Linked DNA regions of Struthio camelus. The protein of the gene in region 2 interacts with the protein of the main gene of each other region in a pairwise test. Links are inferred from orthologs where the notes say so. Each region holds a gene or a part of one and is shown on either strand. Other genes may lie near its edges.

Region 1 (8,296 bases), on a different chromosome or scaffold from region 2:
CCCAGCAGGAGATAAGATGTGTAAGGAGCAGGGAAAGGGAGGAGTATGAATTTCCCCCCCATGTGGCAGGGAGTTGTGATTGTGAAAGGCACAGACAAGGCTGTACTAAGTGAAGGGGGCAGCTGCAGCAGGTGAAACCCTTAAACACACAAGCAGTGCATCAGAAGGAACCTCACCAAGTGCTGACAGCAGACAGCCTAGAAACATGCTCCAAGCATCTTGGCCCAGTTATGTGGGGGCTGCTAAGCACCAAAGTAGTACAAACACAATGCCTTGGCAGAGCAGTGCAGAACCGCTATAGATATGCTTTGAGTGTGACTGGATTTTACTCTTCTTCCTTGAATGCCCAGCAAACCCAGTAGTCTAGAGCAGAGCTTGGACACTGGAGAGGGAAAGGATTTTGTGTCACCGGAAAGGAAACGAACCAGCTGATCCCTTGGAAACTACAGCCATGCTCTGCTTGAGCACGCTTGGACATTCTTGGCCTCACACCTTAGAAACAAGGGCTGGATCCAGAACCAGCAGAGCACGCTTTGAAAATAAGTCCTACTAGATTAGAAATACAGATTTTGCAAGAGAAAGCTGCCCTCCAGTACCCACTTCCATGTCAGCACCAGCAGCTTGTTTTAAAAACTAATTCAAGGAGTGCAGACTAAAGCCCCATTCATCTTCCAGATAATTAAGACTCTGTAGTGTCGCTCCAAGCAGGAAGCAGAACTGATGCCTGTGCAGCCAACAGGACAGTCGTACCTCCAGTGACAGCTGAGACTTGATGTGTCATCTTGGATATTGAGGAAAGGTTAGTGGAGGCTCTTGCAGGACAGCCACTCCAGAGAGGCCCCAGCAGGCAGCTGTTCACTAGTGAACAGTTCTTTCCTTCTGTCTCTGATAATCTGGAAGGTAAAGAGAGAGCAAGGCTGAAAGGGCAGGAGAAGTGGTCACGGATGGTGGGGGAAGTTAGCCAAAATGCTAGAGGAAAACATGAATTCTGTGTACGCCTTCTTAAATAGATGCAGTGCTTGCTACTCTCCTGGATAGCAGCTGGCTTTAAAATAGTATGCTGACATCTCCCCCCGTCATTTCAAGTTTTTTTAAAGCATTTATAAGAAAAGTGTTTTTTAAAGTCCTCTCTTCCCTTGCTCCACACTTTTACTCTTTTCACTTTCATTCAAGGGTCAATTTCCATTTTTATGAAGAATGCTTGTTTGGCTTGACGACTTGACTTTTTTCCTGCTCCCTCTGCCTACTGCCAAGCTTTATAGGTGCAGAAACCTGGAGTTAATAATTTGGTCATTCCCTCTGACAAAATTTAAACATTCATAGAAAGGGATAAAACTACAAGCGGTGTCCACCATCAGCATGGTTCTACTAGTGACTGAACCAATTCCTGTGTTATTTAAGGATAAGTAGCTCCTTCTGCAGCTCCAAAATTAACACTTTCCTAAGCAGTCATCCCAGCTTTTAGCATTGCTTTGCTCAGCCCTACTCTACAAGTTTGCAGGTGGGTAGCTGAAGCCCTTCCTTACTGTTTTGATTGGGTAGCTGTCCTCAACCCCAAATCAAAATTTAACCCCCTTTCTGATTTGCAGGCTGCTAGTTTGATGCTGCATATGACTTTAGACTCAAAATAGCTAAGTTTATGTGGAATTGGCAAGGATGCATGACAGCCTGCTTCCCAGGGAGAAATACAGCTGGCCCACTGCACTCAAAAGCTAGCAGGCACTTACTGTAGGGGAAGTAACGTACGCGCATGGTGATTTCACGGGCAGTCTTCAGGATCTCCACAGCCTGAAAGCAAAAAGAGTTGCTCAGTGACCAGACTGAGTGAGAGGACAGGTAAGAGCAATGTATTAGCTATGCAGTGCATCAGCTTGCTTTGCACAGGGTCTGATATCAGAGTTCCGGAGGAACACTGGGACTTGTGGCCCCCCAGGTTAATGTTCCTCTGCTCTTCCTCATCAGCAAGGGTGTTTTCTTTAAAATTAGATATATGCCCTTTGTGTTGTGAATTATTTTCCCTGATCTACATATGGGGTGTGTGGGATGGGAATTACAGAGAAAGGATTACTGATGTTGTCAACGAAGGTATCTAGGTGCTTGCCTCACACTCATCCTAACTGTTAGACAATGGTGACAGGTTGCCATTTAGGTCCTGAGTTGGTGCAGGCTGAGAGGGCCGAAGGAGAAGGTAGGCTCATGCATTGCCTTTGTTCTCCTGCTCAGGAGGTGAGAGCATGCTGGGGCCTGGGCCAAGCCCTGTCCCTGCTCCAGCAGCTGGAGAGCAGGAGCACTCACCTTGCTGTGCTCAATGTCCTGGAAATCCACATCGTTCACTGAAAGTACCTGGTCCCCTTCCTGCAGCCCAGCTCTATGTGCATCTGAGTCGGGGATCACCTGAGGAGCAGACACAGCAGCACTGACCCTCTGCGGCTCCCCTCAGCACACATCCCAGCCCCAGAGAGCCTCTCCACAGTGCCTGTGCCCAGTGCACTTATACATGAGTCTAGGAGGGGATGGAGAGAGCATGAGGACTGCACTGCACCAGCAAGTCATGGGTCGGGGACAGGAAAGGAAAGGGTGTGAGATCATCTCCTTGTTGGCAAGTAGAAGCTCACAGCTGAGCTGTGCGTGCAAGAGGCAGGTCAGTCTCCATACACGCCCAGCCGGCTCTGCAACCCCCAAGGGAACAGACGGAACATGGGGAGGGAATGGCGGAAGGACAGACACACCTTAGAGATGAAGATCCCCAGCTGCGAGGCCTTTCCTCCTCGGATGTTGAAGCCCAGCTGTACGAGAAACCAGGTTAGCAGTGAAGTGTAACCACCCCCCTTTGCTCATGCATCTCTTCTAGATGGACCAAAGGTGTTAACAGCTGTAGTGATCGCCTAGGGAGCTGCAAGCACAGTCCCTCTCCGCGGACCTCTACGGCCATCCCACCTTGAGGGCTTGCCCCTGCTCCCTGTCCCTGAGTGGCTCCATGTCACAAGTTATTGCAGTTCTTTGCCTAACCCACCAAGCTCCCCCCCACCCTTTACAGCACAGCCCTTCCCAGAAGGGCAGCAGCAAGGCTTCCCCCTCCCCTCCCCGCCCCGAAGTAGTAAGAGCAGGAAAGCAGCGGTGCCTCTCTGACCTCCTGGGGCTGCCTTCGGCCTCAGTCGGCCGCTGCCATCCTCTCGCTCCTCCGCGGGTCCCCCCGTTTTGGCCAGGCACAGGGAAGAGGAGGGGGGGGGGGAAAAAGCGGAGGGAGGCTCACCTGCGCCCCGGGGGGCTTCTTGAGGACGATGGTGCGGGGCAAGAACTGCGTCAGCTCGTTGTTGTAGTCGGGGTGATAAACCCGCTGCAAGACAAGGCGCCGTGAGCGGCCGCGGGCCCCCAGCCGCCGCCGGGGGCCCGAGCCCGTCGCCCGCCCGCCCGCCCGCCCGGGCTCACCTCGTGCGGCGGCACCCAGGCGGGCGGGCTCTCGTAGGGCGGCAGGAAGACCACCGGGTAGTCGTCGTAGGGCAGCCGCGCCTCCATGCTGCCGCGCCGCCTCAGCGCCCGCGCTGCGTCACCCGCCCCGCGCCGCGCTCGCCCCGCCCCGCCCCGCCCCGCGCGCGCGCGCCGTGACGCCCCGCGCTGCCATTGGCGGGCGCCCCGCGCCGCCGCCGGTTTGAATGTTGACCGTTGCGGCGCCGCCATCCCAACGGCCGGCGGCGGCAGGTGGGTGCGGGCCGGCGCCGTGAGGCGGCCCCGGGGCTCGGCTGCGCGGGGTGCGGGGAGGGCTGCGGATCTCCCCCCCTCCCTCCTTCCCCGGCTCCCCTAGGGAGTCTGGGCCTAGCGCTGCGGTCGGGAGGCTGCGGGGCTCGTAGCGGGGCTCCCGCGCCTCAGCGCTAGGCCTCATGCGGCCCGACGCTGAGGGGGCCGTGCCACTGTCGCAGGAGCAGCGGCGGGCGCTGCTCCTGGGGGAGCCTGACCCCGCTCTGCTCGTCCTCAGGGCAGCCCGCGTAACTGAAAATGGTGAGAGAAGATGACAAGGTGATCCCCGTGCGCGTGGCGCTGCGCTGCCGGCCCTTGGTGCCGAAGGAGACGGATGAAGGGTGCCAGATGTGCCTTTCCTTCGTTCCGGGGGAGCCGCAGGTAAGGGAGCCGGCCTGCTGTGCTTGAAGAGTCAGCCTTGCGTGTAACCACATATACGTACCTCTAGATATCTCTATATAGTTATATACACCTATGTATTTCCATGCTGAATGCAGCCTCTGGTTACCACAGCAGTGCAGTCAATGCTGTTCGCTTACATCTCCTTTGTAGGTGATTGTAGGCAACGATAAATCATTCACATATGACTACGTGTTTGATCCTTCTGTTGAGCAAGAGGAGGTGTTCAACACGGCCGTTGCCCCTCTCATACGGGGCATCTTCAAAGGTTTGTAATAACTGAATTCCGACTCTGTTTTAAAGCACTGGGAGTCCTAGTGGGTTCAGATGTGTGAAAGAAGAGGCTGTTTAGCTCTCCGTTCTGAGTCCTTTCTTCTTGCATCTTCCCAGAAACTAAAATTCTTTGTTCTCTAGGCACTGGCTCCAGCCTGGGGTGAGAAGTGCCAGATCTTGCCTGTTTACAAGCTGTAGGCTTCCCTTGGGCTCTCAAGATGACATATTCATGTTCATTGGGTCATTTTTGGTTCTTGAAGATGTTAAGGCAGGAGAGATTTATTAAGAATAACATGATGAGCTGATAAGCATCCTATACTGGAAAGCATTACTGGTGCTGGAGTGGAGTTGGAATGACAGAATATCTACGACCCTCTCTAGTTAAAGCAACAGAGCTGTCCTTAAAAAGATAGATAGATAGATAGATAAAATTATCTATGCTTTGGGGTGTTTTTCATTGGCTTTCTCCCTTGATGTTGTTAACTGTGACCTGTGGGTCAAGGCTGTGTAAACTGATGGTGAGTGGCAGTCCTTTTTTGGAAGGATGCTTTTACTGGAATGCCACTTAATTTGTCAAAGTTTCTGCTCGTTTCCACCTGACTTTCTGATCTAGGCCTTCTTTATTTCTGAAGGGTATAATGCTACTGTGTTAGCCTACGGACAGACAGGATCTGGAAAAACGTACTCCATGGGAGGTACCTACACTGCCAATCAAGAGCATGAGCCTAGCGTGGGGGTTATCCCTCGGGTAATCAAACTGCTATTTAAAGAAAAGGAGCAGAGGCAGGATTGGGAGTTCGTCCTCAAAGTCTCCTATTTAGAGGTAAAAGTTGTTTTGATTTTTTTCAAAATATTACAGAGTTGTGAGTTGTAAACAAAGTGAGCCTTAATGAAGCTGCCTCCTTCAGGTATTAGGAGTTTGTGAAATCAAAACTTAAGATCATATAAGGTCTTATCTTCAGCATCTGAATTCTAAATCCTGTTTACCTCTCACTAAAGGTAAAATGGTACAGTCTCATGCAAAGCTAGCCCTGATCTGAGCCTAGTTGTACATCGTTCTTTATGCAAGCTCTTTTCTTGCAAGGCTGCTAAGTCTGAGCTGCTGTTCTGATCTTTTCAGATCTACAACGAAGATATTCTAGACCTGCTCTGCCCATCTAGAGAACGGTCTTCTCAAATCAGTATCCGGGAAGATCCTAAAGAAGGAATAAAGGTCTGTTGTCCTGTTAGAAATGGATATGTAACGGGCGCATAAGCGGTATGGCTAGGGACAAATGTTTCAATAAAACAGTTGTCTGTCTTCTTGAGGACTGTTCTCGCACTGCTCACTTTATAAACATATGCCTATAAAATCACCACAACTGCTAGCTCTTCTCAAAATTGACCTGTTGGTGAGCATTTAATGTTTCTCAAAATGTAGAGAAGATGTTAGATATTCATTACAAAGGCATTTGCAAGTCTTTTGGCTCTTCTTGAGACTGATTTAGGTGAGTATCTGGGAATGTACTTCATGTCCTCTAAGCCAATTACACTGTTGCAGTTGTGCTCTTCAGTTTGGCCAAGTGATGTGTAACAAAAGGATCCTGACAGAAACTATTCAAATGACTAACTCATTCTTTTAACAGTTTCCTGTAGAAGTGTGTTTATAGTGTAATGCAGAAAAACCTCATGCTGCTGCTTGCTCTGCGTGCTTGTTTGGTAATTAAGCTGTTAGTAGCGGCATCGCTTTCCAGGGAGACAGGCCATTTGGGGAAAGCTCAGTCTTACCAAGAACAAAGACCAGTCCCTACTACTCAGTCCCTTCTGTCCTTTATGTCCCTAATACCTGCCTGCCTTTTACTCTTTTTCTCCAATTCCCCCACCCCCATCAATCAGTCTCCCTTTCCTCTGCCTGGGGTTGGCACAACTTTCAGTCCCCAGATGCATGCTGTGCTACCAGCTGGGCCAGAGGATATCCGAGGACTGTTATGGGCTCCTCTGTGGAGTACTGAGGAGTCCTGTGTCCAACCCATTGCCCAGCTGTCTATCAGGCGTAGAAGAGCTTGGTGTGTGCATGCCGGAGTGAGATGAGAAAGAGGTGATGTAATTTACAAGTTACTGACGTGAAGTTCAGAACAAATTTTTGCTGGGGGATCCATACTAACCCTCTCCCCTAAAGTGAGACTTAGCTTTGTGCGAATGTGTATGTTCAGAGACTTCATTTCAATAGCTGTAGTCTGAGATGAGAGAATTTTTGTGAAGCAGTAAATTAGGGGTGAAGAGGAAAGAGAGGATAAATGATACTTTCTTCCCGGATACAGATTATAGGGTTAACAGAAAGAAGCGTCGCCTGTGCCCAAGACACTGTATCCTGCCTAGAGCAAGGAAACAATTCCAGAACGGTGGCCTCCACAGCAATGAACTCCCAGTCCTCCCGGTCACATGCCATCTTCACCATTTCCGTTGATCAGAAGAAGAAAAATGACAAGTAAGTGTGACAGCGCTGCTACTCCTAGCAGCAGTTAGGAGTCAGGCTTACTGCAAATTTCATAGTCTGTTGTTCTCTTAGTCTTAGATGAACTCAGCTCAGCTACAGTTGAGGTAGTTCCTTTATTTGCTGTTCCTTTATTTTGAACGGCACTTTTCAGCCCAGTAGCTCAACTGTACTAACCGCCAGACTGCTCTGTTCCTAGCTGCATGTTTACCTGAGAGAGTAAAATATTCTATTTCTGCCACAGGAACAGCAGTTTTCGCTCCAAGCTACACCTGGTTGATCTTGCTGGATCTGAGAGACAAAAGAAGACCAAGGCTGAGGGAGACCGACTAAAAGAAGGTCAGTAGATGAAGAACAGGTATAGCTTGTGTTTCTTACTGCTTTTGAGCTTGTACATGGAGTTCTTGTTAGAAGAAGCAAAGCAGTTTCTTTAAGTATAATGCATTTTTTACCTTTTTGCGTTTTATAAAACTCAAGGAAATAACCAATTTCTAGCTATTGAGGTAGCTCTACTCATTGTCGTCTGTTTGTTTGCAGGTATCAATATTAACAGAGGTCTTCTCTGCCTGGGGAATGTAATTAGTGCTCTTGGTGATGAAAATAAAAAGGGTGGTTTTGTCCCCTACAGAGACTCAAAGTTAACGAGACTGCTGCAAGGTGAGATCCAGATAACGGTTGAAGCCTAAATCTACAGTTTGTTTTAAATAACAAAGTATTAAAAAAAAAATACTGGAAGCCATACAGCCGCATTCTGAAGTGGGAGGCTGCTGCTGACAATGTGATTGTATTTTTTGATTTCATTGCTCTTCTCACTGTAGCTAGACCTTTTCTGTACTCTTAGGTTACAATTGCACGGAGAGAGGCGCTCACATAAGTCCCACTCTTGCAGTTCCTCTGTGATGGGAGGAAACATCTTAAATTTAGTGCAACTTTTGTGATAGGGAGAAAGAAGTTGAGAAGTTTAGCCTGGAAACAGGGCCTGTTATTTTATCCTGATTGTAGCCACTTACTGGAGGATATCACAGCCAGAAAGAAGCTCAGGCTGTCTGTGCCTTAACTGTGCTCTTCATACCTTTGTGGTTTGATTTCTTAGTCTGCATCTCTGTTCTTTATAGTACTTATTTTTCAGTCTTTGCGATGATCTTTTCTATAGCTTAGTCTTAATATTGTAATATGGGCATAGCCATAATAACGCAACTTAATGGATTTTTTTTATTTGTTTGTTTTCCAATAGTTAAATAAATTGCTACCAAAAGCTAGACTTCTCAGTGTTTCAGATATCTGAAAATATCAAATGTAAGGAACTTGGACTATGCAGAGTTGGATTTGGGGCCTTCTTTTCTAATAAAAAATTTTAGGTACGCAATATGTGTTAGTGTGAAAACAAAGGATAAAACACCATGCACCTTAATGATC
Region 2 (7,942 bases):
TGTTATCAGGCTCTTTATTTATAGCAAAGGAGAGGCAGAGAATTCTACCAAAGGGAAGTGTCTGCAGAGACCATGTTTCTTTTTCTTATTTCCTCTAACCTAGGCTAATTGATTCTTGCGTCTACACAAAGATACCCTGACTCCAGAGAATGTCAACCAACATATTTGTTGATTCCTTCCCTCTGTCATTGAGGAACGCAGCCAAAAGGAGTGTTTCTGCTCTTCCTTGCCCATGTACTAGATCCAGTTATCAGGTGACCTCAGGATGAGTTGGATCACCTTACTGATCAGATGGAAGTGAATTGAGAGGTTTGTTGATTTATTTTCTATCAGATGAGCAAGCAGATTCAGTTCTCCCTGGGCTTTAATATTACCAGGGGGGTAAAAGAAGCTCGCCTTTCGGGATGGGGCAAAAAGGAACCCGCTCTTCAAAAGCAGCTCCCGTACTAGAATGTGCAACATAAAGCTGCACCCTCAGTGATGGTCTTTTCTTGCAATGTTAAACTTTATATTGTCTTGCTCATTAAATAGCATAAAAAGTTAAAAGTTATAGGCTCCATGAAATAACTTCCTCCTATTTGATTCACACTGACCGAAGACGGAGAATCAACCTTGGCAAACACAAAGCTGTGAACAGGTTTCAGGTGAGGACTGCAGTCCACTCTCAGTTTCAGACGCTACTGGCTTTGTCAAATGCTTTGCTTAGCCTTTTTTAAGTTTGTCTCATCATACGTTCATTGTCTCTTTGGGAGAGGTGTGGGTGGATTCACTGAGTCTGTTCAATGAATGCTCTCCCAATGGTGGCTTTTAATTAATCCTAGTTAAAGGGATGTATTGTTTTGTGGGCAGGGTTCCTTTGCCCCTGGAATTTTAAATATTTTGATTCTGTACACATTATTCATCTGAGATTTTTTTTTCAACTTAACATCAGTAAAATTTGTGCTTTTATGTCTTCCCTTGACCCCAAGAGAGTTGCTAGGAAATCTCCTGTCCTGGAGAGGTGAAAAGGAAGAAAAAAAGATAGGTGGGAATGGAAAACCTTGGGAAAGAGCTCAGAGGAGGCAGGTTTTAACTTTATCCCAGACTCTCAGGGGATGGCTGACAAATACACTGGTGGGAGGGCTCTCCTCTTATCCCAGACACACATAAAAAGCAATAACAATTTGCTTCACATGCTGCATCCACTTCCCATGAGTGACAACAGCAGCAACACATATATGAGCAGATATATCTGCCATACATGCAAAAGGTAGTGTACAGTTGTTTCAATGATGGCCACTGCTTGAACGTCCTAGTCCTCATCTCTTCTGCAAAAAGCTAGTGTTGGCCAGATGGGAGTATCTGAACGGATTTCACTGCGTCTTACTCAACTACTAAATCAGTTTCAAATTTGTACTCATTGGTTCATTTTTAAAATAAAAGGAATTATATGAAAGGTAAAATATGTAATACTTTAAATAATACAAAGAGTTGTTATGGGCACTTTCAAAACAGAGTTTCATTCCTCTTAGTGGAGACATAAGTGTACCTTTTTGTAAATAATGATTTTAAATATTTTTAAATAATTAATAATAATATAATACTCTTTAAAAATGCTCAGGCATTTATCTGACTGTAGAAAAATTGTGCTTAGTGAACTTTGGGAAAACCTAATGTGTGATTTGTTTTTATCAAACTTTCACACTAAGTTTGAGGCAAAAGTTTTAACTATGGATCCAAAAGCAGTCTTCAGAAAGAAAAGCTGTTAACCTCAGTAGCACCAGCCTGTGCAAATGATGCAAATATGTTTTCACTCATGCTATTTGCAATTCATGAACTCCATTCCACAAAATGATAAAACCCAGGGCTCCTAGATATCAATGTGAGTTCATGGTGCATGGCATCTTGCAGGATTAATTCCGGCAAATACAGTTGTAATGTGTCCTCCATATGTTCCAAAACTACTAATATCAGATTTTATTCAATGACTGTTCAACGTAAGAGATATAAGAGTCCTTGAACAATGGAGTAGAACCAAGATTTTCCATCATTCTCTGGATGAGCTTCCTGTTCATGAGACTAGCAAGTCATGTTACCTCCAGATAGCCCATTAATTGTATTTGCAAAGTATGACTTCAGCAGGGAGAGGAGGTGCATCTTCAGGGTGGTAGGATAGTCTCAGCTTCAGAATACCTTATAGCTATGAGCTAAAGCATTTTCCTGGGAAGAGTGACATGGATCTAAAAACCCTTTCTCCTTCTAGCTGAAGAGGTTTGCTTGGTTCTCGGGGATGACAGAAACTAATTCCTTGTAATTCCTTGTTAGGCATAGCCCGAATGCACCTAGTTCATCAGGCCTCTGTGGGAGATCTCTGCAGAGGAACGTCTTGCCTGGGAATCCAGCTAGGCTTTGACACATTTAGGCTCTTGGTGTTACCGGGATGGCAACAATTCTAAACATACGCAAAACAGAAACGAGGCTGCAAGGAAAGGTACTGGCAAAATTCAGTTGCCTAAGGAAGAAGCTTGGCAAAGCACATGCTGGGATTAAGCAGGATTTATGCAGCCAAATCCAACTTCAAATGCCTAACTGATTTTATGGATCTGAGCCAATATAGGTCTAGCTGTGCTGTATGTCCTTCTCTGCTAAAGAAGAAAACTGACTCTGCATGGTGGAAGGTATACACTGTTCTCAAGATCGTAAGCATTTGCTCTGGCTATGACGCACGAGGAAGAAACGAGCAGGGTATAACTACCTCAGGAGCCCAAAATGCATGTGGTTTCCCCCATGCTGTTGCCAGGCAGCTTTCCACAGCCCGTCAGTGGGAGCCATTATTCACTTTTACTCATCATCTAAAGGCTCTTGCTCTTAGAAGGGAAGGGAGCTGTTTATAGGATAACTTGTGCTTTCTCTATTATATCTTTTCCAGGTAGTCTATAAATCTCAGATGCTGTCAGTGGTAAGTGAAAATGAGGAGTATTGTTGGACAGAGAGGAACTCTTATCTTACATCCAGTTACAAAAAGATAACTAAATTTGCTCTCATGTTCGCTGCTTTCCAGGTCTGAAATATCTTGTGTAGGTCAACTGTGTTCTAAGGCTTTGCCCACAAAGCCTTGGTGAGGACTAAGTCACATAGTAACTTGTTTTGTTGTACTTCATTTTTCAGAAGATGTGCATAATGGGGAGCAAGTGGAGGACAGCTGCTGTGCAGAATACCGTCAGCTGTGAATTTCAAATTTTTTGGTGGATACAGGACTAGTAACAGATTTCCCAGGTTTACCCTCATTTAGAATGTGGTTTTGTAAGGGAAGCTTCCCTTAGAAAGGTGATGGCCACAGCAGTTTCAATAATTTACATTTGTGTTTGTAACTCTAATTAAGGGTGTGCATAGCTATGTATAAATGCACATTCAATCAGATTATTCATGTGAATAAAAGCCTGTCATATCCTTGGTATCTTTTAGAGGAAAGGCAGTCAGTTCAAGAAATGGTGTTGCTTATATCAAAAGAAAACCATGGCATCTCTTTACTCTTGCTTCTGAAGTCTACATGTTCACATGGGAAATAAAAAAAATCCTGAAGCTGAGAGTACAAGAAGAGCGTACACACCCCTGGAGGAAATTCGACAAAAGTTTTAATTTCCTGTAGCAATGCGTGTCTTTTAGAGACCCAACGGGAGATTAACAGCTATGGTGTCTCACATTTGTACTTTAAAACGCTGAGATTTGCGATGCATGTAAGCACTTCCGCGGGGGAAGGCAGGGCCCGCCGATGGTCAAGAAACTGATCCCAGATTCAAGAAGTGCGGGATTCATTTCCTGCAGAGATGAAGTGCTTTTTTTTTTTTTTCCTCTCTCTCTCGCTCTCTCCCTTTTGGCTTTACCTCTGGATCTGCTAAACAGACATGCCTGTGTCAGTCCCCGCTGCAAGGTCTCGGGGCGGGGGGGGGGGGAAGGAGGCGGGAACCACCCGACCTTCCCCCACGACAAGCAGCGCCCCCCTCGCGGGCCGCGACCGTTACGGAGCGCGACCGTTACGGAGCGCGCCCGCCCTCCCCGCCCGGCTCGCGCCCCTGGCACGACCGTTGCCGCTCGGGCCCCGGCTGCAGCCCGCGCCTTCCTTGCGGCTGCCTCCGCCGCGCGGGACGGTCCGGCCAGCCGCCGAGGGACTCGGCTTCCCCCGCGAGGGCCCGGGGGGGTTGGAGGGATGCTGCCCGGCGCGGCCCCTTCCCTCCCCTCCCCTGCCCGAGCTCCAGGTCCTCCCCGCCGCCTGCCGCCCGCCCCGCCCCAACGGCCGGCGCCGTGCCGAGCGGCGGCGCTGGAGCAGGCGGCGCGCCCCCGCGGGCACCGAGCCCGGCAGCTGCGCGCGCCCCCGTCGGCGGGCGGGGCGGGGCGGGGCCGGGGCCGGGGGCGGGGCAGTGAGAGGGGCCTCGCCACTCCCGCCGCGCTCGGCTCCCTCCCCCTTCCCCAAGGTGCTGGCCGCGGCGGCGACGGGGACGCGCTCGCTCGTGCCCGCGGCCCTCCCTCCCTCCCTCCCTCCCTCCCCGCCCGCCCGTTCCCCTCCGCTCTCCCCGGCTGCGCGGGTGGCGGCGGCTCGGCCATGGCGGCGCCGGCGGAGCTGAGCGTGGAGCGGTTGCGGGCGCTGCCCGGCAGCTGGAGTTATGGGATCAGCCAGGGCGGCCGCGTCTTCTTCATCAAGTGAGTGCGGGGCCGGCGAGGAGGGGAGCGGAGCGGAGCGGGGCCGGGCGGGGCGTGCGGGGGGAGGCGGTGGCGGTGGCGCCGTGCCGTGCCTGCCTGACTCGGTCCGTGTGTGTGTGTGTGTCCCCGCAGCGAGGAGGCGAAGAGCACGACCTGGCTGCACCCGCTCACCGGAGAGGCCGTGATTACCGGGCACCGCCGCAGCGCAGGTAAGAGCCGCGCCCGGGGACCGAGGGGCGGCTTGGGCGGGCAGGCGGGAGCCCCCGGCTCGGCCCGACCCGGCCCGGCCCGGCTCGGCTCGGCCGCCTCCTCCCCCGCCGCTCTCCCCGGGGGCTCGCCGGGCCCGGCGGCCTCGTCGCCTCCCGCCACGGGTCCCTGTCCGCCCGGCGGGAGCCCCCTGGCGCTGGCAGTGCCGGCAGCCGCTGGCCCCCCGCGCCCCGAGCCCGCCTTCGTGCCACTGCGGTCACCCCGGGCAACTCCGCATCCCGCTTTTCCCGCTGTCCCCTCACTTCTCGCAGTTGTTTGTCCATGGGTTGAGCAAGAATGAAGTGACGGTGCAGCCTTGCGTGTCTGGCTGGGCATTAATGTGTTCCTCATCTCTTTCTTAAAATGATTTCCTTTCCCCCCTGTGCTGTGTAGTCTCTTCTTTTTCTGTTGCTCTTTTCTGGTTGCCTTATATCACCCCGATAATGTTGTGTCGTTGCCATTAGAAGCTCCTTATTTCTCTCATGCTTTTTACAGGTTACCCAGGTTATTCACCTACACAGCATCCTTTCTCATTTCAGCTTTAAACCACGCATTTTAATTCTGTTTCCAGCAATATGTAGATATAACCATGATAGGTATATTAGAGATGAGCAGGCTGATTCCACTAAGCGTAGTCACCTAGAAACCTTCTTCCTCTCTCTACTTCCATCTAGGCTGAGAGTGTGGGTGGTTTCTAAGTGACTGAGAGAGGTGGAATAGGTAGGAGGAAAAGAGACTGGAACGTTAGGAATAACTTGGAGGAGGGTGGAATCAGTTGTCTTTGCTACTGCTGTTTGTTCCAGTCTGGAGAAGTAGCAGCAGGAGGTGCTGGAGGAGGAGGAGGATTTACAGCAGACACTCCGGAGACCCAGAGCTAGACTCCGACTGCTGGAGCTGCACACAGGCTGCCTATGCCACTGGGAGGTGGTGGAGCATAGTTATAAGTGCAGTTGTTTCTGTGTGTGTAATCACTTGGATAATCACAGGAAAATCTGCAACTGACTATATCAGATGATTTACTTTTTACATTTGGTTAATACTTATGCATAAAGAAATTATAAACAGTCTTTTAGAAAACTGTGGGCATCTTTCGTTTGTGAGGTGAGAACAGTTTGAAGAGCATAGATTTCTGGCTATTGCAACTTTACAATTTTATCTGCAGTGAAGGGCTGTAGCTTGTAAAAAGTCATTGAAAGCCAGGAAATAGAACTACTGATTGGGATTAGGCTCTTCTTTTCCCTTTTTTTTTCCCTCAGATTAATTGAGCAGCTGTCCTTCATCTTCAATGATAGGCATGGGGGCAGATGTATGTTAGGTGCTTTGCTTGCTGGACATTAACATTAGCTGTGTATTCATTTCTCTTTCAAGTTGGTACCACTGGCTCTGCTGGCTGATGGTTATTTCTCAGTAATTTTCTAAATCTCTTATTCATTCCTGGCACTAAGTGCCTTTGAAAGGAAATACAGTTAGGAGGGTTATTATCAAGTACATTAAACTTAGCTCCGAACACTGAGTGAGGTATGACCTTATATGTACTGATAATGATTTGTAGATCGGACATTGAAGCATCTACCAAACAAACCCATTTCTGTTTTTTTCCTCTTTCATGTGTATGTTAATTAATCTCCCAATATAATCTAACAGATTAATTCTGGGCTTTATATCTTGTTTTATTCTGGCCATTGTTTTGGAACCTAGTCAAAATATGTTTATATCAAGAGAAATTTGGAATGAATAATGCTTCTTTTGAAAATGTATATTATTATAAGGCTCTTTATTAAATAATACTATGAGTATTTACTGGACTATGTGGAAAGCTTTGTCGTCCTTTTAGAACTGAAGTGCTTCTCATTCTTTGAGATATTCCGTCCTAGAAAGGTATTCTTTCTGCAAAGTTCATATAGCAGTCATAAATACTTCTGCTAGAGAGACTTCCTGTTTGCTGTACTTTGTCCTGTGCTGCTACCAAAAGACACCTTGATTTCCTCCCTCCCCACTCCCCTTTTAGAGAAGATAGCAGTGAAATAAAAAAGGCAGCCAGAGCAAATCAGTAAACCAGAAAAATCACATAGTCCAGACTGAGTAGTTTTCCCCTTTTAAGTGGGGAAATATATTGTTGCTTTTATAATTAGGTGAGTGAGTCCTACATATGAATTACTGTTTTTTATGAACTGAGACACACTTTTAAAGGCAGTGATGTGTCCAGCATCTTCAGAGCTTCCATTACTTCGGGAATCTGTTAACTGAAAGTAACAAACCATTGGTTTCTTCCATGGAGATTTATTTCTTTTATAGGTGAGCTCCTGACTCTTAAGACTGGTACTCAGCAGAGAAGGAAAAAAAGTGTACACACTTCCTCCACCAGCTTTGCAGTGAAAATAATTTTCATATAAAATTGAATAGAGTTGTAAACGCTTCAGGAACACTTGTTAGTCACATCAGTGGTGGAATTACGGCTAGTACAAGATAGCTTTGTGGTGTAGTTGGTATCATGCGTGTTAAGATGCTTGTGACTTGCATGTAACGTAAACTCAGTAAATTGGTTATGTTTAGATCTCTGTATCTATCAAGTAATTTGATGCTACTGAAATTTGAAGCAGAAGGAACTGATGATGATCATAATTTCTAATTACTGGTCAAAGGAAGGAACATTGTTAAACAAGGACACGCTTAAAACCTTATTGTTGTTTTTACTTGAGACGGAGAAATTCAAATCAGGTTTTCATCATGTTGTTTCTCTTTAGATTACAGAGTTGAAGTTGAAAGTCTTTTGAGCCAACTTTAAAGTGTATGTTAATAGGACTAAGTGCTTTCTATATGTAGCAAAAGATGCACAATATTTTAACTGCCTTAGTATTAGGGAGTAGACCAGTATGGGTAGCATAATTTCAAAAGTTAATTAGAATGTTTTGTTGCGTATTTTCCAGACTTACCCACTGGTTGGGAAGAAGCTTATACTTTTGAAGGTGCAAGATATTATGTAAAGTAAGTTGAATGTTTATCTGTCAAAATACTATAA

The links.
Region 1: the proteins of PLEKHA5 (region 2) and PDZD11 interact in binary tests that used the Homo sapiens proteins (3 or more experiments, as listed by UniProt). The two-hybrid records come from large-scale screens. The link is inferred for Struthio camelus from reciprocal best matches to the Homo sapiens genes PLEKHA5 and PDZD11.

The regions. Positions count from the first base shown.
Region 1 is NC_090952.1:27,505,979-27,514,274, reverse strand, and holds the start of PDZD11 (PDZ domain-containing protein 11), read right to left. Parts: upstream 3,579-8,296; 5' UTR 3,517-3,578; coding exon 3,430-3,516; intron 3,338-3,429; coding exon 3,254-3,337; intron 2,787-3,253; coding exon 2,730-2,786; intron 2,395-2,729; coding exon 2,296-2,394; intron 1,789-2,295; coding exon 1,728-1,788; intron 894-1,727; coding exon 859-893; 3' UTR 1-858. Other genes in the region: chromosome-associated kinesin KIF4A, read left to right, coding at 3,994-4,116, 4,288-4,402, 5,040-5,230, 5,528-5,620, 6,708-6,874, 7,125-7,219, 7,418-7,537. UniProt on the Homo sapiens protein: Mediates docking of ADAM10 to zonula adherens by interacting with PLEKHA7 which is required for PLEKHA7 to interact with the ADAM10-binding protein TSPAN33.
Region 2 is NC_090942.1:73,291,276-73,299,217, forward strand, and holds the start of PLEKHA5 (pleckstrin homology domain-containing family A member 5), read left to right. Parts: upstream 1-4,391; 5' UTR 4,392-4,579; coding exon 4,580-4,677; intron 4,678-4,809; coding exon 4,810-4,886; intron 4,887-7,850; coding exon 7,851-7,908; intron 7,909-7,942.